4 linked regions of the Elephas maximus indicus genome follow. The protein of the gene in region 2 interacts with the protein of the main gene of each other region in a biochemical or structural test. Links are inferred from orthologs where the notes say so. Each region holds a gene or a part of one and is shown on either strand. Other genes may lie near its edges. The genes, in order: CRK, ERBB2, ITK and SH2D2A.

Region 1 (6,863 bases), about 27 Mb from region 2:
AGGAAGGCATTTGTGTGAGCAGCAGAATTTCGTAAAGAATGGAGGGCAGTGAGAGGGCTTTATATTGCAGTGAAGCAAACAGCTCAAAATTGAGTATTTTGCATCTTCATTCTCAAAAGTCTTGCGGTCATGTTGCCACTGGGAACATCTTGCTGATATTTCTGGAAGATCCAGCCTCCCGCCTGTGTTCCCAGCCCCCTCTCTTCCCCAAGACCCTCCTTGAGTTCCCTCACATTTCTCCCCAGAGCTTTCCCCCAGTGTCTGTCTCCAGGCCCTACCTTTCCACGCTTTAAGACTGCTGCTTGTCTCTGCAGAACTAAGGCCTACCCATGTGGGGTGGGGTTGGTGGTAGGGGTGGGAGTGGGAGGGACATCACAGACAAGCATGCACTTTGAAAGGTGATACTGTTGTTTTTTGCTTTAAATAGCAATTTTTGTCATCTTGATACAAATAAACTTGTTCTGCTTTTTTTTTTTTTTTAAAAAAAAAGGAAAGTGAATATTAGTAACCCAACTACAGAAGCTTCATGTACACAGTATCTTGGAGTTGTGCATTGCACACAACCTGCCCAGCTATGGTCACTTTAGGGGACACAGAGCAGGCAGGCAAGCAGGCTGTTGACCCCTGCTGTACCTCCATTGCTAAAATAAGGAGGTTTAGGGGGTAGAGCGTGGAGTGGAGGACTTTGGTGTCTTTTCCTCTTGGACTGGGCAGCCTTCCCTTTCTTTCCCCCTGTATATCTCCTTCAGGTAACTCCTTGCCTCACCTCCCCAGGCCCCACACACAGAGCCTTTCCTAAGCAAGGAGGTCTCTTTCTTTGTAGGACAAGTCTCAAAGCTTATCAGGAGGCAAAAACCTAAATATAGCTGTAAATCTTTAATTATGAAGGGGAGAGGAGGAGGAGGAGAGGAGAAAGGAGGGAGGGGGCAGGGTGGCTTGCTCACTTCTTTCACTAATGACTTTGTTTTCCCCCAAGGCCACTCCTGTTCCTACATTCCTGCCCTCTGCCCTCCCAGGAAGGACCCACTTGAGTGGCTTCCTGGGCTGGATCTCTCCTTCTTGCCTACCCCCCCTTTGTTTGTTTTCCAGCTCATTTATGATTTCTTTCCTTTTTAAAAAATATTTAAGTCATTTCCATGTGCCCTGCGGGTGGGGGAGGCATGGCTTCAGACTCTCATAGGCAGTCTCTGAGTCAGGGCCTGTCCCTCAGTGCCAGCATTCTTGTAGAAATGAAGAGCAGGTGCTTCTTCTCAAAGGGTCAGAATCAGGCTCGAGTGGCTTCTGCTGCTGGCACATGGTGACGAAGTGTGACTAAGCCGGGGTTACAGTGAGTCACACACAGCTGGGAAGGTGTCCCCTCCCCATGCTACCCAGAGTGGGCCCAGGGGTGTGTGACGTGGACCTGGAAGAGCTGTGTTATTCACATGAGCCATAACCCAGGGCTGACTGATTTTTTCAAAATACAGATTTGCCCCCCTCCCCAGGCCCCCACCCAGTTTCCTATCCCAGAGGTCTGAGGATATAGCAGAGTGATCAATAGCTCTGGTTGTCCTCCAATTTGAATCCCAGCTCCTCACTCAGCAGCTGTGTGACTTTGAACAAGTCACTTAACCTCTCTGAGTTTTAGTCTTCTCATCTGTAAAATGAGGCTAGTTGTACAATACCTACCTATAAAGTGGCTGCAAGTATTAAATGTCATGATCCATTTAAAGTCATTTAGTACCATGCCTGGTAGGTAGTAAGCCTTGAATAAACGTTTAGCTGTTATTAGGAAAAAGGAGCCCTGATGGCATGGTGGTTAAGTGCTCAGCTGCTAACCAAAAAAGTTCGGCGGTTTGAACCACCATCTGCCCCACAGGAGGAAGATGTAGCAGTCTGCTTCTGTAAAGATTACAGCCTTGGAAACCCTACGGGGCAGTTCTACTCTGTCCTATATGGTCACTATGAGTTGGAATCAACTCTACGGCAACAGGTTTGGATTTTGGTGGGTTATTATGAAATGTTTAGGAGTGTCTCCTAACTAGATGCTGGGCCTTTGAGAAGCTCTAGCATGGGGTACAGACAGAGCTGTAAGTGAAAAATTACAGTACGATGGTACAAAAGCTGTAAGGAGACAATATGGACACAAAGCTGTCAGGGCAGAGAGGGAGTGATGGGTTGATCAGAAAAGGGGAGACGTTTGAGTTTGAGGTTCCATAAGGGGTGAAAGGGCATTACTGGGACAGGGGGTTCACACAGGAGCAGTTAAGATGAGGCTGTGGCCCAGCTTTATGCTGTGAGTGAAGCTGGCAGTTTTAACATTTGAAGACTGTTAAAGGTTTCACGCGGAGTAGCAAGACTCAGACGGACGTTTTAGAAAGGTCACCCTTGGCAGCAGTGTGGGGGGCAATTAAGAGCACAAAGACTGAAGCCTACCAGCAAGGAGGCTCTTAACAGTAATACAGAAGCGAAGTGATCCTGACAGTGGCGGTGAGAGGGGAAGACACACACGGGCACAATTTAGGGTTAGAGGAATCTGGGCCGATAACTTGAAAGCCTCAATAGTGAGAACACCATACTTCTGCCTGGCTTGCCACACCACACTCTGTTCCCTTTGACTTCAGTGCCCTTCCCCACTTGCCATTCAACATTCTGCTCAAGCCTCCCTCCCCAAACTGAATTAGGGAGCCTGTTCTGTGTTCCTAGAGCCCCAGGCTTGTTCCCCATCCTAGCATTTGGCACTCCATTGTCATTCTTTCCTGGCTCCTCCCACTGGTCTGCGAATTCGGTGAGGGTTGGGCTCAGCCTCGGTCACCTTTGCACCCACCTGGCAAGTGTGCTGTTCGCTAAATGAATCAATGAAAACAAGAACTTAGCCAGCAGAAAAGGCCCGACGTCTCAGGGAACCTTGCTGAGAGCTCAGGTCGTGGGCTCACATCTACCTTTTTTTGTTTTTAATTTTTATTGTGCTTTAAGTGAAAGTTTACAAATCAAGTCAGTCTCTCACACAAAAGCTTATATACACCTTGCTACATACTCCTATGAGTCGGAATCGATTCGATGGCAACGTTTTTTTTTTTTTTTTTAACATACTCCCAAGTGCTCTCCCCCTAATGAGACAGCCCGCTCTCTCCCTCCACTCTCTCTTTTTCATGTCCATTTTGTCGGCTTCTACCCTCCTCTTACCCTCTCATCTCCCCTTCAGACAGGAGATGCCAACAGTCTCAAGTGTCCACCTGATCCAAGAAGCTCACTCCTCACCAGCATCCCTCTCCAACCCATTGTCCAGTCCAATCCATGTCTGAAGAATTGGCTTGGGGAATGGTTCCTGTCCTGGGGCAACAGAAGGTCCTTCTAGTCTCAGTCAGACCATTAAGTCTGGTCTTTTTATGAAAATTTGGGATCTGCATCCCACTGCTCTTCTGCTCCCTCAGGGGTTCTCTGTTGTGGTCCCTGTCAGAGTAGTCATCGGTTGTAGCCGGGCACCATCTAGCTCTTCCGGTCTCCGGCTGGTGTAGTCTCTGGTTTATCACATCCACCTTTTATAACCCCAATTCTGTTTCGGAGTCACTGCCTAGAAGTCCTGGGCCATCCAGTAACTTGAAGCCTAATGGAGCGAAGAACCGCGTAGCCAACAGCACAAAAACAAACCTCTGGGGACCGCTGGCTGGGGCCCCGCCCCTTCGGCCCTAGACTCCACCTCTCCATCTTCTGCAGTTCGGGTCCGAGCCCGGCGGCGACGCCCATGAGGCCGCATGCGCAATGCATGCGCAATGCGTGCGAGAGGTCTCTCTTGCCCTTCTCCCAATGGCGGCCGGCGGGCCCCTTCCCGGCAGCCTCTCTGAGGCTGGGAGCGCGTCATTTCCGGTGGGGAAGGCCCGCGGCCGCCGCCGCCATTTCGGGCGCTGCTGTGAGACTGAGACCGGAGCCGGTCCGCTCGGCGGCGGGCGCCGGGGCTGGAGGGGTGCGCGCGCGGCGGCCGCGGCCCAGCGTGTAGGCGCGGAGGCGGCCATGGCAGGCAACTTCGACTCGGAGGAGCGGAGTAGTTGGTACTGGGGGCGGTTGAGCCGGCAGGAGGCGGTGGCGCTGTTGCAGGGCCAGCGGCACGGGGTGTTCCTGGTGCGGGACTCGAGCACCAGCCCCGGGGACTATGTACTGAGCGTCTCCGAGAACTCGCGCGTCTCCCACTACATCATCAACAGCAGCGGCCCGCGCCCCCCGGTGCCGCCGTCGCCCGCCCAGCCTCCGCCCGGTGAGGGACACACGGGACGGGAGGCCCCGGGCGGGGGTGAGGGCCGCGGAACTCTCCAGCCTGGCCGGCTGCTTCTCGTGAGCTGGCCCCCACGAGGGTCGTGGACAGAGGGCTGAAGCGACAGGGGCAGTGGGCAGCCTACTGCTGGAGCTAGTTCTCAACGGAGAGCGGGAGTGTGTGGGGGAGGAGGAGCGGCTGACCGAGGCCTCTGGGTGTGACTTGGGAGGACGGCCCAGGGGAAGGGGAACTGCTTCGGCCCCAGGGTGGGGCTAGTGCCCGGGCCAGTGTGCAAGGGCAGGGCGGGACAACGTGGGGACAAAGAGCTGAGGGGGATGTTGGCACTGCGGGGGCATCACTTGGCAGCGGTACCCAGAATGAATTCGATAATCCTACAAGTGGCTTTTAGGCTAGAAACACTTCCTGCTGTGTTGGAGAGCCAGGTTTGGCCATACTCCCCTGGTGGCCTTTGGTAGGAAGTCACCCCATACCGGTCAAGAGGGATGGAGACACCCTCAGGAAACCGGTCAGCTTTTTCCTTTCTTGGGCATTTTTCCAAAAGTCTTTTACCGTCCTCTTCTCCTGTGGAGGACGAAGGTGATTAGCTAAGTGCCTTGGTGATTGAAGAAAGCCCTCTGAGACCAGCCCAGAACAAGTTAATGCTTGGCTGACTGTATCCAAGAAATCTTAGTGGCCAAAAGACTGTCCTTCTCTGCAAGCAATGCATAGGGGAGAAAGAGTTTTTCAGAAAATAAACCAGAAATAAGCCAATGGAAACAACCTCTTCCCTAAAAGTGAATGGATTTCATTTTTCCTTGAGCTTAAACATTGTTAGTCTTGTACTTCAGGGCCCCTTCTTGCTCAGTAAGTTGGGGCTGTAGCCTGAGTCTTCATGGAAATTGGGAACAAACCTGGCTGGATCAGATTTTCTGAGTGTTTAACTACACTGGTCTTCCTTACCAATGATCACTGAGATTTAGTCATGTCATTGAAGTTGTTTGAGGAGTGTTAATGGAATTTATGCATTTAGTATTTGAGAGTTGTGAGGTACAGAGTAATTCTGCGGTTAGCATTATCTGTGTAAGAGGACCAAGAGTCCTGATGCCTTCTCACTGTTCCCAAGTTGAAGTAGTTATCCTCCTGACCAACTGAGATTAGATCCAGGCCAGTCTTATATGAATTAGGAGGTTCCAGAGCCAGCCTTTGCAGGCCGGCTCTTTTACAATAGGCCTAATTTAGACTGACAGTCTGGCCAGAAAGGGGGAGACAGGATAGGCAATCTCTTTGTTATTAACACATAGCAAGTTAGAAAATGAGTATGAGGTCTTTAAGTCCATAAATTTTCCTAGATCTTTCTCAGTCTAATTGATTTAATATAATTAAGCATGAGATGCGAGTATTGATGTACCATCATTTGCCCTAAACTAGATTGGAAGCCCTAGGGGCAGCATTACTGCCTTACAGGGTCGCTATGAGTCAGAATCCACCTGATGGCAACGGTTTTGGTTTTGCTTTTAGGTGTATTCTGCTTTGATGCTGCCTGCATGGTATCTAAGGTTTGGTATCACATACAGTAACGTGGAGGCAAACTCATTGAAGTTCAGTTCTTAACATTTTGTTTGTGTGTACGTTTTGTTGGTTACAAAATTTGGAAATGGCAGCAGGTTGCTTTTTTAGTTTGAAATTTCTCCATACCTTGGCATTATGGTTTTATTTCCCAATGCTTACCTTGGTATGGAGCTCCACCTTTTCAAAACAGATAAGAGTTTAGATCCTTGGCCCAGGAGAGAAGGTGAAGATTGCCAGAGTTTGTGGATGGGGTGTGGAAAGTTCATGGGCATTGTGGTAATGCCTGTTTCTGCAATGCACTCCATATTCTATGCAGGGTAATTGATTCAGTTGCTGTCTTTATAAAGATTACTTCATCTCTGTTGTCCTCCTCTCCATTGAGCTGTATTTCTTTTGAAACCATACAGAAGAATTTCTTGAGTTTTAGAGAGGCATATACAAAATTAATGTTGTTGTTAGGTGCTTTTGAGCCGATTCTGACTCATAGTGAACCTATGTACGACAGAATGAAACACTGCCTGGTCTTGTACCATCCTTATACTCATTGCTGTTTGAGCCCATTATTGCAGCCACTGTGTCAATCCATCTCGTTGAGGGGCTTTCTCTTTTTCATTGACTCTCTTCTGTACCAAGCATGATGTCCTTCTCTAGGGACTAGTCCCTCCCGATAACATGTCCACAGTACGTGAGACAAAGTCTTTGCATCCTCCCTTCTAAGGAGCATTCTGGCTGTACTTCTTCCAAGACAGATTGTTCTTCTGGCAGTCCATGGTATATTCAGGGTTCTTTGCCAACACCACTGTTCAAAGGCATCAGTTCTTCAGTCTTCCATATTCAGAGGTTTTGCATGCATATGCCCCAAAAACCCTGTGAGGCAATTGAAAATACCATGGCTTGGATCAGGCACACCTTAGTCCTCAAAGTGAGATCTTTTCCTTTTAACACTTGAAGGAGGTTTTTTGCAACAGATTTGCCCAATGCAATAATAGGTTATTGGATTTTTTGACTGCTGCTTCCATGGGCTTTGATTGTGGATTCAAGTAAAATGAAATTAATAGCTAACATT
Region 2 (7,222 bases):
CCTCATGCTTCCACTCCATGTCTCCCTCTGCCCATAGCCATGCGTGTCCCAGTGGCCTCTGCTCCCATCCTGCCCTCAGTCCCCTGCCATGCTGGGAGGGCCCGAGAGGAAGGCAGGCATGAGCTAGACAGGGAGAGAGAGGACTCTCAGGCCAGGAGGGTCCCCACTGGGTTGGGGAAGACAGCTCTACTTTCTATAACCTAGTTAAATGAATGGAAAAGTCATTCACCTAAAAATCTGAGTAGTGTTTCTATCCCTTCTGGGCACATGTTTGCCCCTAAACTGGGGCTTTGCTCAACCCATTCCTGTTGAATGGAATTAAGACTTTGACTAACTCTTGAGGTCTCCTTAGAGGAGTCAAAATGCCTTGGACATTACTGGCTAGCTGGGGAGTCTTGGATAAGTCGCTTCACTTCTCTGAACTTCAGTTTTCTCACCTGTGCACCTACTTCACGGGATTGTTGCAAAGATTAAATGAAACTGTGCGTAAGAACTCGGAACGTAGGAAGTTGAGGCAAGAGACATTAATACAGCAGAAATATGGGAAATCTCAAACCAAGAGAACATGACTTTGGAATGTAGAATTTGTTCTCTTTTTACACGTGAGCCTATCTTTTCCATTTTTTTCCCCTTGAATATTAAAATAAGGTTACTTTTCCTAAATCCTCAAGTATAGTAAAAGGAGAAAGCTATTGGGAGAATCATACTGGGAGTAAATATGAGCTCTGCATGATAAAAAGAACGAGTTTGCTGCAATTTACAAAACGTTGACCTCTAAGAAAGGGTCTCAGTAAAATCCTGACCCTCTGGGTCTTCCCCCACATCCCCCTCCCCCCACATTCCTGCCCCTGCCCTGAGCCCTGACATATAACAGGAGTGTTGGAGGCAGCTGGGTGGTGTGCTGTTTTAACCACTCCCTGCACAACACACCCAGCTTCTCTCTCTGTACCCAGCAATGCAGGATGAGGGCTGAGGAAGCCCTGGTGAACAGCAGTCCCACCACCCTTCACAACCCAGCTCTGAAGCAGCCCAGTCCCTCCTGCGTGACAGCCCAGCCTAGCCTCACCCTTCTCATCAGAGCACCAGGGGCAAGGACGCCCGCCTAGGAAACAGGGAGGGGAAGGATTGGCTCCCTAGGAAAGGGGAGCCTCCTTCCTCAGAGAGAAGGCGTGGGGCCACCTCCGCTGTTTACGGCCGATCTGGCCCGGCACCTTGAGTTCCTTCAGAGGGCAGAGTTCAGCCAAGTGCCCAAGTCAGCAGGGAGATTGCTGTTTGGCAACACAAAGCCCAGACACACACCAGACCACACAACTCAACAACACCCTGCCAGACACGCAGCCTCAGACACGCACGCTGACACTCTCAGCACAGCAGTACGCTGACCCTCTGGCAACGCTCAGGCACTATGACACCACCACCCCTTGGCTCCGTGGCCTATGGGGACCACCCACTACTTTCGGAACACTCATTTGGTTTTCCCCACAACTCCGGCAAGCAGGGTGCAGTGTTTCCCTTGTTCAAGGCAGATTAATACGGTGATTTCACATGTGTAGTTAGAGATGGGACTGCCTGGGGTCCAACCTGAGCCCGCCATCACTGGTTGTTACTTAAACCTCATTAATGCCAGGTCTTCACCTGGAAAATAGTAATACTAGTGGGACTTCCCTTATAGGGTCCTGAGGATTAAAGGAAGGAATGAATGCATGGAAAATGCCATACCTAGTGCTTAGCACCCAGTATGCGTCCGGTATACCTTGACTTTCAGCATTATTGCCTACAGAGGAAGATAGATGCCCCTCTCAGGACACACACTGCCCCCATCTCCCTTTCCCACACAGCATGAAGGAAAAGGCAGCTCCACAGCCCAGCCTTCTGCATTCCCCAACCTGGCCCCATTTCTTACCACCGGGTCCAGACTGTTCTGGAAACCCTTCCTTGAAACTCTCCTCCTTTATGCCCCAGAACCCGAAGCCCGCCACCACCACTCCACCATCCCCTGTGTTCTTCGAGAGTCATAAAACACCCAGTCCCCAAGCTGGCCCTAAAGAAACTTGTTCAAAACAACCCTCTCGCCCTCCCCACAAGCCCAGACCCCAGTATGAGGCAACTCTGCAGCCAGACCCGCCGCCCTCTCCTCCCGGCTCTGGCTGAACAGGTTGCTGTCCCCACCTCCCCCCTCCACACACCGACCCTGCCTGGAGCTGGAGTAACCAAATCCTAGTTACTGAAGGGGGCGGAGAGGGACAGGGCGGAGGGGACCCCCCAAAGGAATCCAGTCCAGTCCAGTCTGGGGGCGGAGGCTGCCAACTGGAAAAGCTTTGAGAAAGCTTGAGAGGGCTCAAGAGGGGGGAAACACACATGCTCTTCACCGCGCAATCTGCCCTTTCATGGAAACTTTCTAAATAATTTCCGAGAACTTTTGACAAGTTCTCGGAGCCAGTCTCTTGAATGGAACTTCTAGAGCTGCTTCGGTAACTGCCCCCTGGCCCATCTTCTTTTGCCCCCTCCCTGCCCGAGTGCCCAGCTGCTCGGAGCGGCCGACTGTCCCCAAGCTCGGGTCCGGAGAGCTCGCGGGCCCTTCTGCCCCGCCCGCCGGTCCCCGCTTTCTGCGGCTACCCAGGCTGCAGGGTCTCCGTCGCTGTTCCATGCCCTCCCCACCCCAGACCTACCTTGGGTGCCCGCAGCTCCGGGGGGCAGGAGGGCGAAGAGGAGCCCCCAGCGGCACCAGGCCGCCAGTTTCATGGTGTTCACTGTGGCTCCGGCCCCATGGCTCCGGCTGGACCAGGCTGCGAGGGTGCCGGGCGCGGCGAGGCGAAGGGTGGGCGCTGGGCGCCGGGCTGGCACCCTGGGAGGGGCGGGCGGTGGCCTTGGGGTGCTTCTCGTCCCTCCTGCTACGATCGAGGGGAGTTTCAGCTCCACAACTTCATTCTGTACTTCCTCAAGGCAGCCGTTCTCCTCCTCCTCCTCCTCGTCCTCCTGTGATTGGGAGCAAGCGCGCTCGCAGCTCGCCCCCCCACCCCCTCCGACTGCATTCCAGCAAGTCTCGGGGAGTGGCCCGGCTTCACTTTCTCCCTCTCTCCGCGCAGGCCTGTGAGCGTCTCTCCCAGGGCTGGGACGCCTGGGTTCCCTGTAGCAGTTCTCAAACGCTTCCTTGGAGAACCCCTAAAAGCAGTGACTCTCCCCGCTCGGCGAGTCTGGGGCAACTTCTTTAGGGGCCGCCTGCCATCCTTAACACTTTTAAGTCGCCCGTTTTATCTTAAACATTCCTGACGAGTTTGCGCCCTACACATCACAGGGCTGTTTGTTTTAATATCAAATAATGGTTTTCCCACTACATCCTCAAGTAAAATTGACAGTCAAGGAGGGGAGTGTGTTGTATTTAACTTGTGGCTTCCGGGACTCCCTGGGATACCTTTTCAAATCTTTTGGGTATCTTCCCCAGCCTGAAAAGCATGGTCCTAAGGGGGTCCACCAATGGGGGTGGGGGAGAGACGTTCAAATTGGTGGGACCACCTCCCCATCCTTGGAAGAACATCCCTTTTGTTTCTTTATGGGGGCATCCAGCACCTAATTCATTCAAGGTTTCTTCTCTGCCCCTTGCAGTTTACTATTTCATTCATTTCCGTCTCCCCACCCTGCATTCCACCAGGAGCCCCTGACCCTGTTCCTCAGGCCCTGTGGTGTGGGGGTGGGGTGGGGATGAGGATAGAAGGAAGGCATGTTTTTGCTGGAAATTCCAACAGAAGAATGCACAGGACACACTTATACTAACAAATTATTCGTTGTTTACCTGAATTAAAAATTTAACTGGGTATCCTTATTTTTATTTGCTAAATCTGACAAATCTAATTGGAATGCCCCAGCCAAGAGCAAAGCCTGTGCTGGTCAAGAGAGGGTCAGAGGCACCTACCAGGGGGTAGAGAATGAAAGACAGTAGCATTTCTTAAACTGCTCCCATGTGCCAGGCACCTTTATAAGCAGACACTTCTACAGGAGGAGGTGGAGGTAGGGGGTGGTGACAGCATCAGGGGCTCTGGAATCAGAAATGACCTGAGTTCAAATCTCTCCACTCTGCCACATATCAGCTATGTGATCTTGGGCAAGAGACTGAGTCTATCTGGGTCTCAGTCTTCTCATCTGTGAAATAGGGTCTGTAATAGCATCTGGCATGTTGTGCTAGTGGTTAAATGAAATAATGTTCCTGAAGCACTTAGCACCATACTTGGCACACAGTAATTGCTCAATAAATAGTCCCAACTGTGGTTATACTGGAGCCCTGGTGGCACAGTAAGAACTCAGGCTGCTAACTAAGAGGTCGGAAGTTCAAAACCACCAGCCACTCCTTGGAAACCCTATGGGGCAGTTCTAATTTGTCCTATAGGGAAGCTATGAGTCAGAATCAACTGGACAGCAACGGGTTTTGGTAGTTATACTGGGGCAGATACAGGTTTTGTGGGGGCCTGAAGCTTATAAGTTTTGGGACACCCTCTTTAAGAAAGGGAATACCATATCAGTTGCCACAGAGTTGTTTCTAACTCATAGCGACCCTATAGGACAGAGTAGAACTGCCCCCATAGGCTTTCCAAGGCTGTAAATCTTTACGGAAGCAGACTGCCACATCTTTCTGGTGGGTTCAAACCATTGACCTTTCGGTTAGTAGCCAAGTGCTTTAACCACTGTGCCACTAGGGCTCCAAGAAAAGGAATACAGGAAACCTCCAAGAAAAAAAACAGGATCCATTAGATGGTTGTGAAACCAATTGAGACTATCATATCAAGATTAGTTTTTTTTTTTTTTTTTTTATAACTAAAACAGAATAGAAAATATAAGAGCATCACACGTAGTAAGGGTAGGTGCCCTTTTGTGTGTGTCCCAGATGGTGATATAAAATGGATTTATTCCTTGGATGATAGTAACAGATGTTCAAGAAACCTTGCTGTGCACGGGGATACAGCAGCCCTTCAAGATGGTCATCCAAATTCTTATTTTCTCTGGAGTTAGGGTTAAGGAAACTAAGGCTCTAAGGAGTTAACTATTTGTTCAGGAGTGTCTTAGGGCTAACTGGGGAAAAGTGGAACAATCAGCAAAACCAGCCTCTCACCTCCACCCCATCATACAGCCCAGAGGCTAGTCAGTGTGCCTCTCAGCCTCGCAGCCTCTCAGTCCTTTAGGGAGGAGCTGCTGACTTGGCTCCAAGAGTCATTTGCTGATCCCATATCAAGGGCTTGCACCTGGGTGAGAGCACATATGGCATCCAGAACCCATCAGGTTGTTAGGGTCAAGGTTGGGGCCAGAGTTAGAGGTGTCCCTTCTCCCCCAGAGTAAAGAAGGGCTCATCCAGTCAGGAAAGCTGTGACTCTCTGTACTAGAGCCACAGTCCTCGTGTCACTGAATCCTTGAGGCACCAGAGGAGACTGGTATGATCAGTTCCCTTTTACAAAAGAGAAACCCCAGGATTCCTCGAGGTGAAGAAACTTGTCCAAGGTCACAAGCAGAGCTGGGAGGTGAACTTCATCTGTAGAACCACGGTGGCTTTGGCTTGGACTGTCAGCTTCAAGAGCCCTGAATGGTGGGTTCCCTGAACCCACCTTCTCCCCAGGCCCCTGCACGGGAGCTAGAGGAGACCCCTCTGAGAAGAGAAGCCTGGGTAACTACCAGCCCTTCCCTCCGCAAAGATCCTGCCTCCCCCTCCACAGCAAGCCCATCCTCTCGGCATCCCGGGTCCCAGGGAGACAAAGCTCTGTCCTAGTGGGCTGCAGAGAAAGGCCGGAGCCAGGGAGTGGGGGCAGGAGAGGGGATGGGGGAGGAGCTGGGGTCAGAACTCACGCCCCGGGGAGGAGGCTCGAGAGGGGCCCAATCTCTCAAAGAGAATGAGCCTATTCAGAGCCGGGAAGGAAGGGGAAAAAACCTTGTCTGCTGCTTGACAAGAGGAGAGGAAGGGGGGCAGGGGTGGGCGCTGCTGATTCGATTCTCCCCTCACTGTCCCTCCAGCAGGGCCTGGCAGGAGAGCCAAGGAAAGAGGATGTATGAGGGACAAAGAACGAGAGGGGGAGTTTCAGGGGGGAAGAGAGGGCTGAGGAGCAGGGGCGGGATTGTTGGAGGAGCATGAGAGTCCAGGAGAAAGGCTTAGTGAGGGGCCTAGGGAGAGGGAGGCTGGGGTACAGAGGAATGGTGACCATGGGACAGAGGGGAGCAAACTGAGAGCCGGGGGGCAGATGCATGAGCTCTTTGAGTGATAGGTACTAGATCCATGGGCAGCAGACGTGACCATTGCCACTGAAGAGGCAAGACAGGGCTCTGCCTCACAAAGGTGACCTCCAAGGGTCAACAGGTCGGGGTCTGGAACAAGCGGCCTGTGAAATGCCAGTCAATCATTGACTGGTCACTGAAACTGGGGAGCACATGAAGCTGTGTGTTTGTGAGTGTGTTTGTCTGTGTTGGCACCGGAGTCTCCTCCCCTTTGCCTACCTCACCAGCCAGCCTGGGGTCAGAGAACTGAAAACAAACAGAAGAAGGGAGGGTACGGTCCACAGTCCGAGGTCCAGGCCACAAATTGGGGCCTGCCCCACAGAACCTCCGGCCTGGGGCATGGATTCCTGGGCAAGTGTTTGTGTGAATCAGTTACTTAGAAAGAGTCCCCTGAGAGTACACACAAGGCCTCCCTGGGGCCACAGAAGAATAACTTAGAAGCTTCTGATAAGAAAATCCAGCCTTAAAAAAAAAAAAAAGAAAATCCATCCTTACTATAGGTGGCCATGTATGAATACTTGTAGCCTAATCGTGTGGGAGGCCTGGGCCCAGGGTTAGAGAAAAGGCAGAGCCCAAACTTGCCAGACCCACTGGCCCTGGTCATGCTGTTTGCCTCCCTCAGCCCCTCTCACCCACATCTCTCTCGGGAATGCAGGCCCAAGGACCCTTTCTGTCCTCAGGGTGCTTTTCAGAAAAAGCCCTCTCTGTCCTCCGCCTCACCTCGCTTTAATGCATATACATGAAGGAATGAGTGACTTCTATCCTGGCCTGTGCATACAAAGTTGTCATGGTGCTAATTTCTGTGTGTCAGTGTCTGTGTGTGTTCTCATTTAACATGTGCTCTTAGTTTATCTGTGGGTCTCTCTTCTAACAGTAGCTTAGCTGTGTGGCCTTGGATAAGGCCTCACTTTGCTGACTGAAATATGAGTTGGACTGGATGGTTCCAGGTCACAGGGTTTTAGGATTTGGTGTG
Region 3 (7,683 bases), on a different chromosome or scaffold from region 2:
CGTAATAGTTAAACGCTATGGCTGCTAACCAAAAGGTTGACAGTTCAAATCCACCAGGCGCTCCTTGGAAACTCTACAGGGCAGTTCTACCCTGTCCTATAGGGTCGCTATGAGTTGAAATCGACTCAATGGCACTGGGTTTGGTTTTGATTTTTTGGTATATTTAAGGAGCCCTGGTGCTGCAATGAAGAAACCCTGGTGGTACAGTGGCTAAGCACTCAGCTGCTAAGCAAAAGTTTGGTGGTTCAAACCCATCAGCTGATCTGCAGAAGAAAGATGCCGCAGTCTGCTTCTATAAAATTACAGCCTTGAAAATCCTATGGGACAGTTCTACCCTGTCCAATAGGGTCACTATGAGTCGGAATCAACTCGACAGCAATGGGTTAGGTTTGAGTTTGGTAGTGCAATGGTTAAGCACTCAGCTGCTAACTGAAAGGTCGTCGGTTCGAACCCACCAGCCAGTCCGTGGGAGAAGAGACCTGACAATCTGCTCCCATAAAGATTTCAGCCTAGGAAATCCTATGGGACAGTTCTACTGTGTCCTATAGGGTCAGTATGAGTCGAAATCAACTCAAAGGCACACAACAACAAGGTTTCATTTAGGAGTGGTGCAGTGTGATAAATTATTTAGTATGGTCTTTCTTGGCATGGTCTTATAACTCCCACCCAGGTGATTGGGCAGGGATGTGCAAATAAGATAATTGTGGCCCACTAGGGGGATTGGTTGGTTTTGCCTTAAAAAAGAGCCAATTCCAGAGCAGAGAGAAGATGAAAAACGGAAGAATGAGAAACTTTTGGTTTAGGGATGGAATGAAAAAACACCGGTGGATTTAAGTATGTTGTAATCAGTTACCCAAGGCAAAAGCTAGTCATGGGATTTAGGAAGGGTGAATCTAACTCTTGAGGAACTGGTTATTTGGATGCATATGGAAATGCAGAGTGATAAGAAGATGGAAGGAATACACAGAGTCACTATACCAAAAAGAATTGGTTGACGTTCAACCATTTCAAGAGGTAGCATACGATCAGGAACCAACAGTACTGAAGGAAGAGGTCCAAGCTCCACTGAAGGCATTGGTGAAAAACAAGGCTTCAGGAACTGATGGAATATCAATTAAGATGTTTCAACAAATGGATGCAGTGCTGAAAGTGCTCACTCATCTATGCCAAGAAATTTGGAAGACAGCTACCTGGCCAGCTGACTAGAAGAGATCCATATTTATGCTTATTCCCAAGAAAGGTGACCCAACCGAATGTGGAAATTATCAAACAATATCATTAATATCACAGGCAAGTAAAATTTTGTTGATGATCATTCAAAAACAGCTGCAGCAGTATATCGACAGGGAACTGCCAGAAATTCAGGCCAGATTCAGAAGAGGACGTGCAACCAGGGACATCATTGCTGATGTCACATGGATCCTGGCTGAAAGCACAGAATACCAGAAAGATGTTTATCTGTGTTTTATTGACTATGCAAAGGCATTCGACTGTGTGGATCATAACAAATTATGGATAACATCGTGAAGAATGGGAATTCCAGAACACTTAATTGTGCTTGTAAAAAACCTGTACATAGATCAATAGGCAGTTGTTTGGACAGAACAAGGGGATACTGCATGGTTTAAAGTCAGGAAATGTGTGCATCAGGGTTGTATCCTTTCACCATACCTATTTAATCTATATGCTGAGCAGATAATCTGAGAAGCTAGACTGTACGAGGAAGAAAGGGGCAACAGGACTGGAGGAAAACTCATTAACAACTTGTGATATGCAGATGGCACAGCCTTGCTTGCTGAAAATGAAGAAGACTTGAAGCAATTACTGATGAAGATCAAAGACCACAGCCTTCACTATGGACTACATCTCAACATAAAGAAAACAAAAATCCTCACAACTGGACCAACAAGCAACATCATGATAAACAGAGATAAGATTGGAGTTGTCAAGGATTTCATTTTACTTGGACCCACAATCAGCACCACGGTAGAAGCAATCAAGAAATCAAAAGGCGCATTGCGTTGAGCAAATCTGCTGCAAAGCACCTCTTTAAAGTGTTGAAAAGCAAAGATGTCACCCTGATGACTAAGGTGCGCCTGACCCAAGCCATGGTATTTTCAATCACATCATATGCATGTGAAAGCTGGACAATGAATAAGGAAGACCAAAGAATTGATGCCTTTGAATTGTGGTGTTGCTGAAGAATATTGAATATACCATGGACTGCCAAAAGAATGAACAAATCTGTCTGTGAAGAAGCACAACCAGAATGCTTCTTAGAAACAAAGATGGTGAGACTACATCTTACATACTTTGAACATGTTATCAGAAGGGATCAGTCTCTGGAGAAGGACATCATACTTGGTAAAGTAGAGCGTCAGGGAAAAAGAGGAACACCCTCAACAAGATGGACTGACACAGTGGCTGCGACAATGGGCTCAAGCACAAAAAGGATTGTGAGGATGGTGCAGGACCAAGCAGTGTTTTATTCTATAGTACAGAAAGTTGCTATGAGTTGGAACTGATTCAACGGCACCTAACAACGACAAAGGAAGGGCCAAACATAAGATTCCTTGGTTCTGTTATCAGTAATAGCTATAATGGCAGGGAAAAAGAATGTAGGGCCTGATTTTAGCATTGAACCAAGCCCAGATTCAGTTCAGTCAGAGCTAAGACCGCTAGTCTCAGGGCCAACCAAGGAAGGAAAAATCAGATTGGAACAACAGTTCTTCTATGACCATTATTCATCAGGAAGGTAGTCTGTGAGGAAACGGACAAAACTAAGAGGGTATAGTGTAAAGGAGTTGCTTCAATTTGTAGATCGGCATTACTAAATGAATTGGGAAAGTGGCTCATTTAGGAGCAATGTCTTTAGTTTTGAATGCTGCAGAATGGAAGAATGTGTTTGGGTTGATACAAGAGCCACAACTTACTATGGAACATTCACAAATGGCGATACTAGATGCATTTACACAGCAGGTTACCCCAGAGGAGACAGCCAGCCTGATGGACTGGATAAAATTTGCAGTGAGATTTGTTTATTCCGAGAAAAGAAACTGCCCCCTCCCCCTCTAAATACCCAATGGAACACTCCAGAGGAAGCGCCTGGTGTGCCGCTCATGGAAGTCATGCTGGAATGGCTTTATGGTGGCAGGAGGGGGAGTGCTGAGGGGAGAGGGAGTGGTTGATGTTAGAGATGATGGAGTGGTACAGCAGCTTGGAAAAGCTGGACATCTGGGACATCTTAAACCTCTGCCTTATAGGAACTAGCTTTGTGCTGATCCTTATCAAAGAAATTATTCATTTGAGCGAGCAAAACCTAACTTCTCTGAGTGAGTTCGAAGATACTATAAGAGAGAGGATAAGATGAATTCTTGATTGTATTTTACGGAGGCTTGGCAAATGAAAAACTCCCAACTATTACCACAGCTACTGACAATATTTTGCTTTTTCAGATGAGAACACTTGTATGATGTCTGTAAATCTTTTAATCTGAAACAACCAGGAATAAATCTACCCTCCCCAAAGGAGTTTATAGTTTAGTTGGGGAAGGTAGCACTGTATTAGTTAGAATGAGTTTTGCTGCTAGTGACAGAAACTTCAAAATAACAGAAGCTTAAAAATTAGAAGTTATTTTTGTTTAAGCTAAAAAAGGCTATCCGGGCCTTGCATGGAGGGTCCATGGTCATGAGGACCTTAGGGTGTTTCAATCTTGTGCTCTATTGCATGCAATTTCCACCTCATGCTGCAAGATACCTGCTCCAGATCCAGCCATCACATCCACAATCTGGTCAGCAGAAAGGAGGGAAAAGGGTGCAAAGTCTCCCACTAAGGGACATTTCCTGGATGTCATGCTCACCACTTCCACTGTGTCCCATTGGCCAGAGCACAATCACATGACTACACAAACTACAAGGGAGGCTGGGAAATGTTGTCTTTATTCTGGCTAGCCAGATGTCAGAATCAGTTACGCAGGAAGAAGGAGAGAGCACATGTTTGGGAGAAATAGCAATTCTTGTACCAGAAAAAACAAACAAAATACAACCTCTATTGGACAATGTATTTCCACATATAATATCCTAAAATCTTAGAACAAGGTTAGGGGCATCATTTACAATACTCTCCTCCTTAACTTCTCCCAGAGTGTTTTGATTATGCCGGGGCATTCAATATATGATACAAAATTAGGCTCTAGTCTAGTAATTTATATTTTTAAAAATAAAATTTAGAGATTTGAACTCCTATATGGCAGTAATGAGTCTTCTGTTTTATTATTTATCCCTGTCCAGTACATACCATCTCTGCTTACACTAAGATTTCTTGGTTCTTTACTTCTTGCTGGAAGTAGGGTTCACATACTATGTTTCAACTTACATACTAACCATAAGGCAAGATATATGACTAGTGTTATGGATTGAATTGTGTTCCTCAAAAATGTATGTCAACTTGGGTAGGCCTAATTGATTCCAGAGCCCATATTCCTACCCCTTGTGCTGTTAGATGGACTAAAGATTAAATTCTAGTCCTTAATATCATTTGAGTCTAAGGTTCTTCAAATACCATTTCCAAACCATGTAGCAAAGGGTGTAATTTTTTTTTTTCACATATACCTCTTTTGTGAATTTTGAAAGGATGTGGTTTTAGTCTTTGACATCAGGGGGAAGCTCTGCAATGCTGACTGAACCTTGATAGAAAGATAACGTTGGAGGCAAGTTGCCTTTGAACAACTCTCTGAAGATCAACGGCCTCCCCGTCGCATTCCTTGCCCAGAAGCTCTTTCCTCTGGTTGTGCTAAGGGGTGATGCCCAAGGCACATCACTTTTCAAGAATTGGATCATGAACAACTTTATCCTCCTGGAAGAACAGCTCATCAAGAAATCCCAACAGAAGAGAAGAACTTCTCCCTCGAACTTTAAAGTTCGCTTCTTTGTTTTAACCAAAACCAGCCTGGCATACTTTGAGGACCGCCATGGGGTATGTGAGCACTTTGTTTTGTCTTTCTTTGAATAGTATTTTATATTTGTACTGGGGTGATTTATATGGAATAAAATAGAAAACGGGGGACACAGACATGCTTGTCAAGAGGTGAGGTAGCTGTACATGGTGGTTTCAGTTCTAAAAATCATAGAGCTGTGAGTTGAATAGCCATCAGCTTCTTTTTCCCGCAAGGGTTAAGCTTAATTTTAAAATTATGATAATATTATACATAGCAAATGTTTTGATTAGATATAACTTGAACTTCATTTGAAATATGCTACGTGTTATGGGACATTGCTTAATAAAATATTAACATCTGATGGAAGCTGACAGATGATATTGCCCAGTTTCCTTATTTTACAGTGAAGGCAACTGGTACCAGGAATGGTTACATGATGGGTCCAGAGGCTCAGAGCCCTTGAGTAATTTGCCCACGGATTTGACAGCTAGTCAGGTGGTGGAGCCAGAATTCAAACTGTGGTAGATAAAATCAGTATTTTCTTTAATTCAACCCATTTGTGTCAACGGTCACCAGTCGCCTGACATCTTGGAATAATATTCCCTGAGCATTTAATTGAATACGGTGTTGCCCAAAATTTGCATGGCACAATGGTAAACCCCTTAAGCCCTTGGAAAACTTCCCAGGAAACTAGTATTACCAAGCAAAAAGTGACCTGTGGTGAGGACCAGCGGCTCTTATCCATAAGGTAATCGCTGCTTAGCTAAGTCAATCTTTTTGTATATCTGAAGATACTCTCACATTCTGAAACGTCAGCAATTACAGGAGCAACATGAATAATCATAACAATGTAGTTTGGTAGAAAAAGCACTGGGCAAGTGATCTGGAGACCAAACCACTTCTCACTGGATGATTGAGCCTGAGCAAGAGTCTCTTGTTCTTTCTTTCTTTAAAAAGAAAGGTCCCTTCCTTCTTTAAAAATTTCTTTTATTCAATGAAGAGGCACTTGTTTAGTACTTCTGAGCAATTCATCAATACATGTTTGATTTCTTACTATATCACTGTACTTTTTCCATTATTAGGGTGGTAGGAAAGGGGTTGTCACCTTTATTTTACTGAAGGAGAAATAACATTAGGTGCTTAATGGTCAGGTGTGGACAAAGCTGCTCTGAGTCCTTGTTGGGATCTGACTTAGTAAGTGCAGGCAGGAGGATGGGGTCTTTTGAGAGTCAGGCTTTGAAGCATTCAGTGAATGGAGTCCTGAATAAGGCTGGACAGTTATATGCAGCCTGTGGGTGATTGACCCTTTTATGCAGTAGGTGAAATAATACTGCCTTTTTTTTTTTTTTTCTTTTTTTTTAAGAGGGGATAAGACTTGCTCATCTCCTTTTCACAAAACGAGAAGCAATTCAGCAGACTCTAACTGATAACAATACCGGTCAGTCAGAAAACATATGGTGATTACTGATTATGTAGAAGGCCCCTTTGATAGGTGCTCAATAAATATTTGTTGACTAAAGGAACATAGGGCCAGTAGCCAAGTTTTGAACTTCAGAGAGTCAACATACAGAGCTGATAAATCACATGGCATCAGTCAATATTTTTCTTATTGTGAGTGGGACATCTAAGGTTCTTGTTCCATATTGAAAGAGTTATCACCGGCCTTTAAATATTCTCTTTTCAAAGTCCACGTTACAGTTTTTGCCAATTTTTTTTTTTCCTGACTCCACATAGCACCATCTCACTTGTTAGTCCTGATACTGATAACAGTTCCTAAGCAGAGAGTTCAGTGCAGTAGTATTCGTAAATAATCACAAGCCGAGTGGTCTTGATTCAGAATTTTGTTGGTTATAATTTTTCTTTAGACGATGTTGTGAAATCACTGTGCTTCATTTGAGCATTATGAAAAGTTACAGCATAATTCATTCTGTGCATGGGCGAGCCCTGGGCTAAAATCCCTAAAGTTTCCGTATAGGATATAGAAAATACATGAAAACAAAAATCAAGTTTTTTGTTTTCTAATGCCTACAGTTTATATACCTAAATAACTATTTTAAAAGCATTTCTTTAAATAGTATAGAAATTTATTGGTTAGAAATTTCTCCAAGGTCACTGAGAAAGTTAAGATAAATGAGTTATTACAGATTCATGTCCTAATTATCTCCCATTGTTTAGGGCCACCGATTTGCACAAAGAAGTGCACTGTGCATTCCCCAGAAAAAGCAATAACGTAATATTTATGAGAAGGAACTTTTTATTTTGAAATTAAAGCCTCAGTCTTCTGATCTGTAAATGGGTGTGATGAGAGTACCCACGTCATGATAAAATGATAAAGTTGAAGAGAGAGAATGTACTTAGGCTGAACTATTTGAAAGTACCATTTCATAGATAGAAATGGTTAGATATAGGCAATTTTATATAGCTCAACTTAATATATAAAGTACAAGCAATCCTTGTTATTCACGGTAACTCTGTTCTATGAAATTACTGTGAACACGGAATTAGTGACCACCTATAACAGTTTTTTTTTTTTTTATAACAGCATATGGTTTCTCCATAGGGTACATCACAGTCTTCTTGCGCTTAGGAACACTAGATAGCACTTTAGCACTACCCTTCGGGGCCATTTTAAACAGAGAAATCACCGACAAAAAGTACAAACATGGAGAAAACATGACATTAATTATACCACAATAAGGACATTTGTTTGCAATATGAGAGTGGAAACCAGAAGGCAGCACATCACT
Region 4 (7,389 bases), on a different chromosome or scaffold from region 2:
CCGTCTGCAGCACGAAGCACCGCCCCCCGGCGCGGGGCCCCGCCCCTCACCTGTAAGTCAGCACAAAGGTCACGGCGCTCTCGCTGAACCGCACCAAGAAGCATCCCTGAGGCTTGGTCTCCAGCAGTCTCTCGGCCTCCCTGTGGGTAGCGGAGAGAAGAGGCAGAACCCTGCTATGACCCTCCGGGCCTCGTCCCGTGTCCCCGGAGCTCCTGGGGGCCCATCCCCCAACCTAGTGTGCTGAAGTGGCTAGAAAAGGGCCAGGGTGGAGATGGGGAAGGAGGATGCGAGCACTGTGCTTCCCCTGCAGGGACTGGCGGTGGGCAGGGGCAGGGTCCCACTCAGGACACGGGAGGCCAGGTGGCCTACCGCGCTGCAGGTCTGCTCACCCTCATCCTGAAAGTGCAGCCTGAAAGGGCTAAGGCTGCAGCAACAGGAATGGTAGTTAGACTTCTGGATATCAGAAGTCCCAAACTGAACTGAGGAGGTGAAGCAAGAGATACAAGGGCTATGAGGCTGAGAAATAGAGGAAGAGGGAAAAGGTGGGGAGACGGGGAAGAAAGAGGAGAGAGCTGCAAGGAGCCGGAGACAAAGATGGAGTCAATGGAGAAAGAGATAGAGAGATGGAAAATATGGTGGCACAGTGGTTAAGAGCTACGGCTGCTAACCAAAAGGTCAGCAGTTCGAATCCACCAGCCGCTCCTTGGAAACCCTACGGGGCAGTTCTACTCTACCCTATAGGATCCCTATGTGTCAAAATCGACCCAAGAGCAACCCAGTTATGGAGACCTTAAAGACAGGAGGATAATGGAGCCTGAGAGGGAAAACCAAGGCACAGAGGCAGCTGGACTGGATTCTCTCTAATTATCTCCCCTGGGAGAGATGCCTAGGAATTGGGAGATGGGAGTCATAGTCTCAGTCTGCCCTGACTGGCAAGGGACCCCTGCCCCTCTCTGGGCCTGTTTCCTCCTCTCTGACTCACTTTCGGGTAATGAAGCCATGGAACCAGGCAGGGGCTGCCCCGTGCTGCAGGAGCCAATGTGCCTGGGTCTTCTGGAACCAAGCCCGGGTCTCGGCCTGCAGGGTCAGGCCTCCTTCCCCAGGCACCTCCTCAGCCTTTCCAGCACCCTCTGGATTGGAAGCAGTCCCCCGGGCCTGGACAGACACCTGCTAGGGGAAAAGTCCAAGGAGGGAGAAGCAGCCACGATTAGCAGGCTTTCCTCTAACGCCAAACCAGCCACCACCTTCTCACCCCTATACCCAGCCCCTCCTGTGCATGGGGAGGAAGCTCCCCCCACCAGACCAATGGCCTGTTTTAGGATGTATTTGCCCAGAAAGCCCTTCCCAAGATCTCACTTAAATCCTGTCTTCAGCTCTAGCTGTTTTGGTTTCCAGGGAATGTCCTTCCACTTCCTTTTGGGGCACAAGGGCCTTTCATCCAATAGCAGTGAGCTGTTAAAATGTGCTTCGATGGGGATGAAACAGGTACCAAGGGCTTCCAGACAGACTGGAGGTCGTTGCCTGGCCCGAGGGATGAAGGGAGATGGTGCAAGACACCCCAGAGGCGGGGATGAGGGAGTGCTCCCCGACAGTAGGGGGAATTGAAGCTGAGTCCAAAGGAAGATTCCCTAATGACTAAGGGGTAAGGGGAGTCTCAGGGTGGCGCAGATGTTTATTGAACTCAGCTGCTAACTGAAAGGTTACAAGTTCAAGTCCACCCAGAGGCACCTCAGAAAGAAAAGTCTGGTGATTTACTTAGGAAAAAGCAGCCATTGAAACCCTATGGAGTACAATTTCTACTCTGACGTGTGGTTGCTAGGAGTCAGCATTGACTCCATGGCAACTGGTCTGGGAGGGTGAGGAGAATTGAGATGGAGACCTGGGATGCAAAGGGCAAATGAAGGCCGTGGACATAGACTCCCAGGTGACTGCTTATTGGGCACCTGCTAGGGGGAGAGTCCAAATGTACTGTTACCTGTTAACCTGTGGACTCAGCCTGAGCTTCCCAGGGCCAGAGGAGCAGTGTGTGGGCCAGGGGGCAATTCGGCAATGAAGGGGCCTCTCCCTTTCTTCTTCACCTCCCTCGGCTCCCCTAGCCCCGTCATCCACAGCTCCAGATGGCTCCTGCTCTGTCTTCCCATTGCCCATCTGCAAGCCCTCATCTGTGGGAGGGTGGGAGCAGATGGGGAGGGCTGCATTCCCTCAAGTTCCCACTCACCGGAACCTCAATAGCCAAAGCCCTGGGGCTGAGCTGGGCCTCCTCAGCCTCCAGGGCCTGGGATCTGGGCCTCGGGAGCAGGTCCAGGTCCTGGCAGCTCCTGCGGGTCAAGTCCATGGGCAGAAAGGTGCTGAAGGTTGGGCTGGGGGCTTGGCGACTCCCTGTCAGCATAGAGAGGACTGCTGGGGTTTCTCACTCCTCTCCCCAGGCTCAGAGGACCCTGCATGCCTCTGGCAAGGGACCAGGGGAAAGATTTCTCAGCGATGAGGAGTAAGGAGTCAAGGAGATCCTGAAGGGCTGACGCAGTTAGAGGGTGCTTGTCAGGGGAAGGAAGGTCTGGGAACTAAGCTGGCCTTCCGATGGCCCAGAAGTTCCACCATAAGGGACGCAGATTTCTCCTGGCCCAGGGTCCTCCATCTCGCATTCCCCTTTCTCCTCCCAGCTCCCTCCTCTCTAAGAAGCACTCAGCAAACCCCCATCACCTTTGTCCTCAGGGATGAGTGAACATGGAGCCCCAGAGGGAGGAGGAATCATGGGTGCCCTGATAGTCAGCCTTGCCATCTTTGGCTTGGGGTGGGAGCCCTCACCCCTGAAATGGGAGCTCGAGCCCAGGAGAGACAGCAGGGGTGATGAGGGAAGTCCTAATGTCTCCTGCCCCCCACATTCTTACACTTTCCACTTACCTTGGGGACATATCTGAGCCAAGGGGAACTCCATGGGGGCAGCCTTAGAAGGAGCCCCCGGAACAGGGTGTATGTCTGTGTTCTGGAAAGGTGTGCACACTCAGCAACTCATCTTTCCCCTCACCCTGGCCCCAAGGGGCAGGAAGTGTCGCCTCACCCACAGCCTTAGCCCCAGCAGAGGACCCACGTCATGGAAAGCCATAAGACAGTTGTCCCTCCCCCCGGAAGCCAGGCAGTTGAAGGTGGTGGTGGTGGCACGTATTGGTGTCACTCTGTGTTTGGGTGTTGGGAAGTTCTTACTACTATCTGACCTTGATCTCTCCTGATTCTTTCTCTACTCCCTCACCCCAGGCTGGGACCTCCCTATCTCTGTCCCTCTGGGCTTCTGCTTTCTTACTGGTAAATCCCCTAGTGGTATGTTCTGAGCAGTGGGAATGGGGATGTCAACCTCAGAAGGATCAGATCTATGAGGTGCCTGGGGCTCCTCAAGTTTCACAGTCAGGATTGTGCTCTGAGTGCACATGAGGAGGGGCAGGACAGGGCTGTGATAGGAAGGTAATGGGCCAGACTTCTGGAAGAACTTTTTGAGATCTTACAAAAACTGCAGGGGTGGAGGGTAGGGAGATGGGGACCTGGCTTCCATCCTTGAGCAGATAATGGAGCTGGGTGAGGGCAAAACCAGGCAACTCTGGAGAAAAGGAAGGAGAATTCCCTCTAAGTTGGAAAAAATAAATAAATAACCCATTGCCATGGAGTCGATTCTGACTCACAATGACCCTATAGGACAGGAACTGCCCAATAGGGTTTCCAAGGCCATAATCTTTACGGAAGCAGACTGCCACATCTTTCTCCCGCAGAGAGGCTGGTGGGTTCAAAGTGCTGACCTTTCAGTTGACAGCTAAGTGCTTAACCACTGCACAACCAGGGCTTACTGCCAACTAAGCAGGTTGTAATTAATACAACACTGTTAGTCGTCGTTGTTAATAACATCAACAACTCTGATGTCTTAAAGTTGCAGTGTGCTTTATACGCACTCCACACACCAGAGGACCCATCCTATTTCCCTCTCACTTGATCCTCACACACTAAGAAGAAGAAAGGAAACATGATCTCCATTTTCCAGAAGGGTAAACTGAGGCTAAGAGAAGTTTGGTGCCTTGGCCAGGGTCTTTCAGTGTCTCAGGAGTTGGTGGCAGAGCTGGGACTAGAAACTAGAGCTCCTTTCACTACTGTCACCATGATTTAGGCCAACAGTCCATGACTATGTGCCAGGCACTGTTTGTGGGGCCAAGAACTCAGAGAGAAAAAGAACCTTGTTCCTGCCCTCGGGATGTCAAGTGGAGGAGACAGACTTTCCGGCAAATACTTTTTAAAGATGGTGGTGGGGTAATGGTATGGGCTGGTGCTATGGGAGCTGTAGTGTGGTAGCAATAGTGTTGGCCCTCGTCTGACTTCAGAGGGGAATCAGCATCAGTCCAAAGCCGACTCCTATGAGATGGAGGTCAGACATACCTCCACTCTCCAAACTTTTTACCAATTCTGACACCAGCCGCCTACCCCATGGCACTCTCTACTTCTCTGCCGGGTGCTATAATTTGTTACATACAACAGCCACACAGAACTCATAGACCATACTCACGGTTGTGTGGTTTATTAGGGAAGTAACATGTGATCGAGATCAGCAGGCTACAAGTTGGGATCAAGATTAGGAAGCATGTAGGCAAAATCTCCCTTCTTCAGTGCAGGACAGCTCCCTTAGCTCCCCTTGGCCGCGGAAGCAAGTAGGCACTTCCCTCCGCAGTGCAAGTCCTCTCCCAGCTCTGCAGGCCTCTTCTCAGGGCCCTCAGGATAAGCCTCCCCTTGCCCCCTGCCCTGCTCTGAAAGTGCTCCAGCTCTTGCAGCCCTGAAGGCAGCTGCCCGGAGTCACCCCACTCCACCAGCAAGCCCGCTGCCCGAAGGCGCTCAGCTCCCTAGCTCCATGGGCCAGGAAGCCCACCATGCCATCTTGTAGCAGCCTCCTGGTTCTGGTGCCGCCACTCCAGTGTTACAGCTCTGTCTGTTCCCTGGGTCTAGGAGGTTGTCAGTGCAGGGACCCCGGGTCCAAAGGACACATTCTGCTCCAGGCTCTTCTTCTTGATGGTGGTGAGACACCCCTCAACCTCTGTGAGATGGCCGCTTATATAGGCAAGTGGTTCAATCCTATTGGGCATATTTTATGTACCCTATTTGCATAACTGACCAATCCCCTCACTGGACTAAACTGGCCAATCACCCCTGCAAGTGGCTGCATCTATTTGCATAAAAAGTGGCATTTTCTTCTGTCAGAGACTGGCTTCTTCCCAGGGGGAAAGTAATAGGCTTCTCCAAAGGACTAGGGCAGCTGTAACAACTCCTCATGGCCTTGGGGAAATATCTCCCAAGCTGTTTTCTTTTTCTCTTTTTCACAGGAAGAAACTCATTTCATCATAGAAGCCGACCCTGAAGACCCCTAATTCAGCCTGGTGTGTGTGCGTGGAGGGGCTGGGATGTGGGAAGAGGAGCCTGAGCTGAGTTGTGGAGGATGAGTAGGGTGGGGAAAGCCTTCTTAGATAAGGGACAGCATGTGCAAATGCACGGAAGGATGAAATGGCAGAGTGTGGGGGGCAGCTGCAGGGGACAGTGTGAGTAGAGAACAAGAGGGGATATTTTTTTTTTGAGAAACTGCCAGCAGTAGGTTATGCAGCTGGAGGGGTCAGGGCCAATCACATGTCACCAGGAAGGCGTTTGGACTCTGGACTCTCCACCTGGGCTCTGTCTTATGGGGGCAGCTGCTTGCTCCCCATCTCTGTGCAGGAGGACGCTTTTCCCACCAGTCTCTGCTGGTCCTGCCATGCCCACACCCCAAGGCCTTACCTCCCCCAAAGCTGCCTGCTCCCCTTCCCTTCCTTAAAAACACTTGCCTTAGCCTTGGTCCCATCCAAGGAGTTGGAAATGAGACTGTGAGGACTGACAGGTGCCTGAAAGGTCTTCATCCCTAAACTCCTCATTTTATTGAATTGAAGACTGAGGCCCGGAAAGTCACTTGTCCCAGGTCCATGGTTAAGTTAGAGGTGGAGTTGGACCACCTGACCATCAATATTGTAACCAATTTATTGAGTAGTCTCAAAATCTCAAAACAAAAACCAAAAAACCAAACCAGTTGCTGTCAAGTCGATTCTGACTCATAGTGATCCTACAGGGCAGAGTAGAACTGCCCCATAGTGTTTCCAAAGGGCACCTGGTGGATTTGAACTGCCGACCTTTTGGTTAGCAGCATAGCTCTTGACCACTGAGGATTTCCAGTCTCAACACAGTGGGATTCAAATCTCACATGGCTTTATTTTTCTGCAGTCACTACCTTCAATGAGGCTTGCCCTCTTTCTTACCCGGTAACAACATCTCGAGCAGATACTATAATTTTCACTCACTTTCAGGCAGTAAGAGTTCAGATCGATCCACTTTAAAATTTCAACATCCTATCGTGTCTCTGACTTAAATGACTTTTCCTTCCTCTCTTCTCCTACTCTGTTCCCCTGGCAGGTAGCTGAGGGGGTTGGAGTGGGGAAGGGGTGTGATCTGCTCCCCTTGATCCCCCCAACCCTCTGGGGCTGGGGGCAGGACTGAGAGGGGAGACTGAGTATTGCTGTATTGGTTATCTATTGCCGTGTAACAGATTGCCACAAATTTAGTGGTTTAAAACACACATATATTATTTCACAGTTTTTGTGGGCGAAGAGCCCAGACATGAATCTCACAAAGCTGAAATCAGTGACAACCTGGATGTGTTCTCATTTGGAGGCTCAACTGGGGAAAAAATCACTTCCAAGCTCACTAAAGTTGTTGGGAGAATGTATTTCCTTCTGGTTGTAGAATTGAGGGTCCTGGCTTCTTGTGTGCTGTTGGTTGGAGGTTGCCCTCAGCTCCCAACCACCTGGGCCTCCTAACATAGCTGCTTACTTCTTCAAGGCCAGCTAGGCAGAGAGCCTCTGGCCAAACACGTGTTGTAATCTTGTGTCTTAGTTACCTAGTGCTGTTGTAACAGAAATACCACAAGTGGGTAACTTTAAAGAACAATTCTGTAGGCTAGAAGTTCGAATTCAGGGTGTAGTTCTGGTCTATTCCAGCTTCTAGCAGCTGTCAGCCATCCTTGGAGGTCCTGGCCTTGTAGACACTTCTACCTCCATCATCTGTCTCCCTCTCCCCACTGTGTCTGCCTGTCTTTGTGTTTATCCTGCTCTTTTTATAATTCAGAAGTGATTAGGTTTAGGATCTATCCTACACTGGTATAACCAATTGACTTCATTATGGAAGGTGATTACCTTAGATTAGATTATATTCACAGGTACAGGAATTAGGATTTCAACACGTATTTTGGGGGACACTATTCCATCCATAACATGATGTGGTCACAAACACATAATTCTGTACTCTTTTGCCATATTCCTTCGGATAGAAGTAAGGCACAGGTCC

Evidence for each region.
Region 1: the proteins of ERBB2 (region 2) and CRK form a complex in vitro, tested with the Homo sapiens proteins (2 studies listed by BioGRID and IntAct, with this or other methods). The link is inferred for Elephas maximus indicus from reciprocal best matches to the Homo sapiens genes ERBB2 and CRK.
Region 3: the proteins of ERBB2 (region 2) and ITK form a complex in vitro, tested with the Homo sapiens proteins (2 studies listed by BioGRID and IntAct, with this or other methods). The link is inferred for Elephas maximus indicus from reciprocal best matches to the Homo sapiens genes ERBB2 and ITK.
Region 4: the proteins of ERBB2 (region 2) and SH2D2A form a complex in vitro, tested with the Homo sapiens proteins (2 studies listed by BioGRID and IntAct, with this or other methods). The link is inferred for Elephas maximus indicus from reciprocal best matches to the Homo sapiens genes ERBB2 and SH2D2A.

Annotation. Positions count from the first base shown.
Region 1 is NC_064837.1:20,224,230-20,231,092, forward strand, and holds the start of CRK (adapter molecule crk), read left to right. Parts: upstream 1-3,854; 5' UTR 3,855-3,990; coding exon 3,991-4,231; intron 4,232-6,863. UniProt on the Homo sapiens protein: Involved in cell branching and adhesion mediated by BCAR1-CRK-RAPGEF1 signaling and activation of RAP1.
Region 2 is NC_064837.1:46,996,078-47,003,299, reverse strand, and holds the start of ERBB2 (receptor tyrosine-protein kinase erbB-2), read right to left. Parts: upstream 3,004-7,222; 5' UTR 2,743-3,003; coding exon 2,670-2,742; intron 1-2,669. UniProt on the Homo sapiens protein: Protein tyrosine kinase that is part of several cell surface receptor complexes, but that apparently needs a coreceptor for ligand binding. Essential component of a neuregulin-receptor complex, although neuregulins do not interact with it alone.
Region 3 is NC_064820.1:173,658,698-173,666,380, forward strand, and holds the start of ITK (tyrosine-protein kinase ITK/TSK), read left to right. Parts: upstream 1-4,665; 5' UTR 4,666-4,836; coding exon 4,837-4,974; intron 4,975-7,683. UniProt on the Homo sapiens protein: Tyrosine kinase that plays an essential role in regulation of the adaptive immune response. Regulates the development, function and differentiation of conventional T-cells and nonconventional NKT-cells.
Region 4 is NC_064821.1:194,555,387-194,562,775, forward strand, and holds the start of SH2D2A (SH2 domain-containing protein 2A), read right to left. Parts: upstream 3,022-7,389; 5' UTR 2,936-3,021; coding exon 2,902-2,935; intron 2,380-2,901; coding exon 2,219-2,379; intron 1,168-2,218; coding exon 983-1,167; intron 141-982; coding exon 51-140; intron 1-50. UniProt on the Homo sapiens protein: Could be a T-cell-specific adapter protein involved in the control of T-cell activation. May play a role in the CD4-p56-LCK-dependent signal transduction pathway. Could also play an important role in normal and pathological angiogenesis.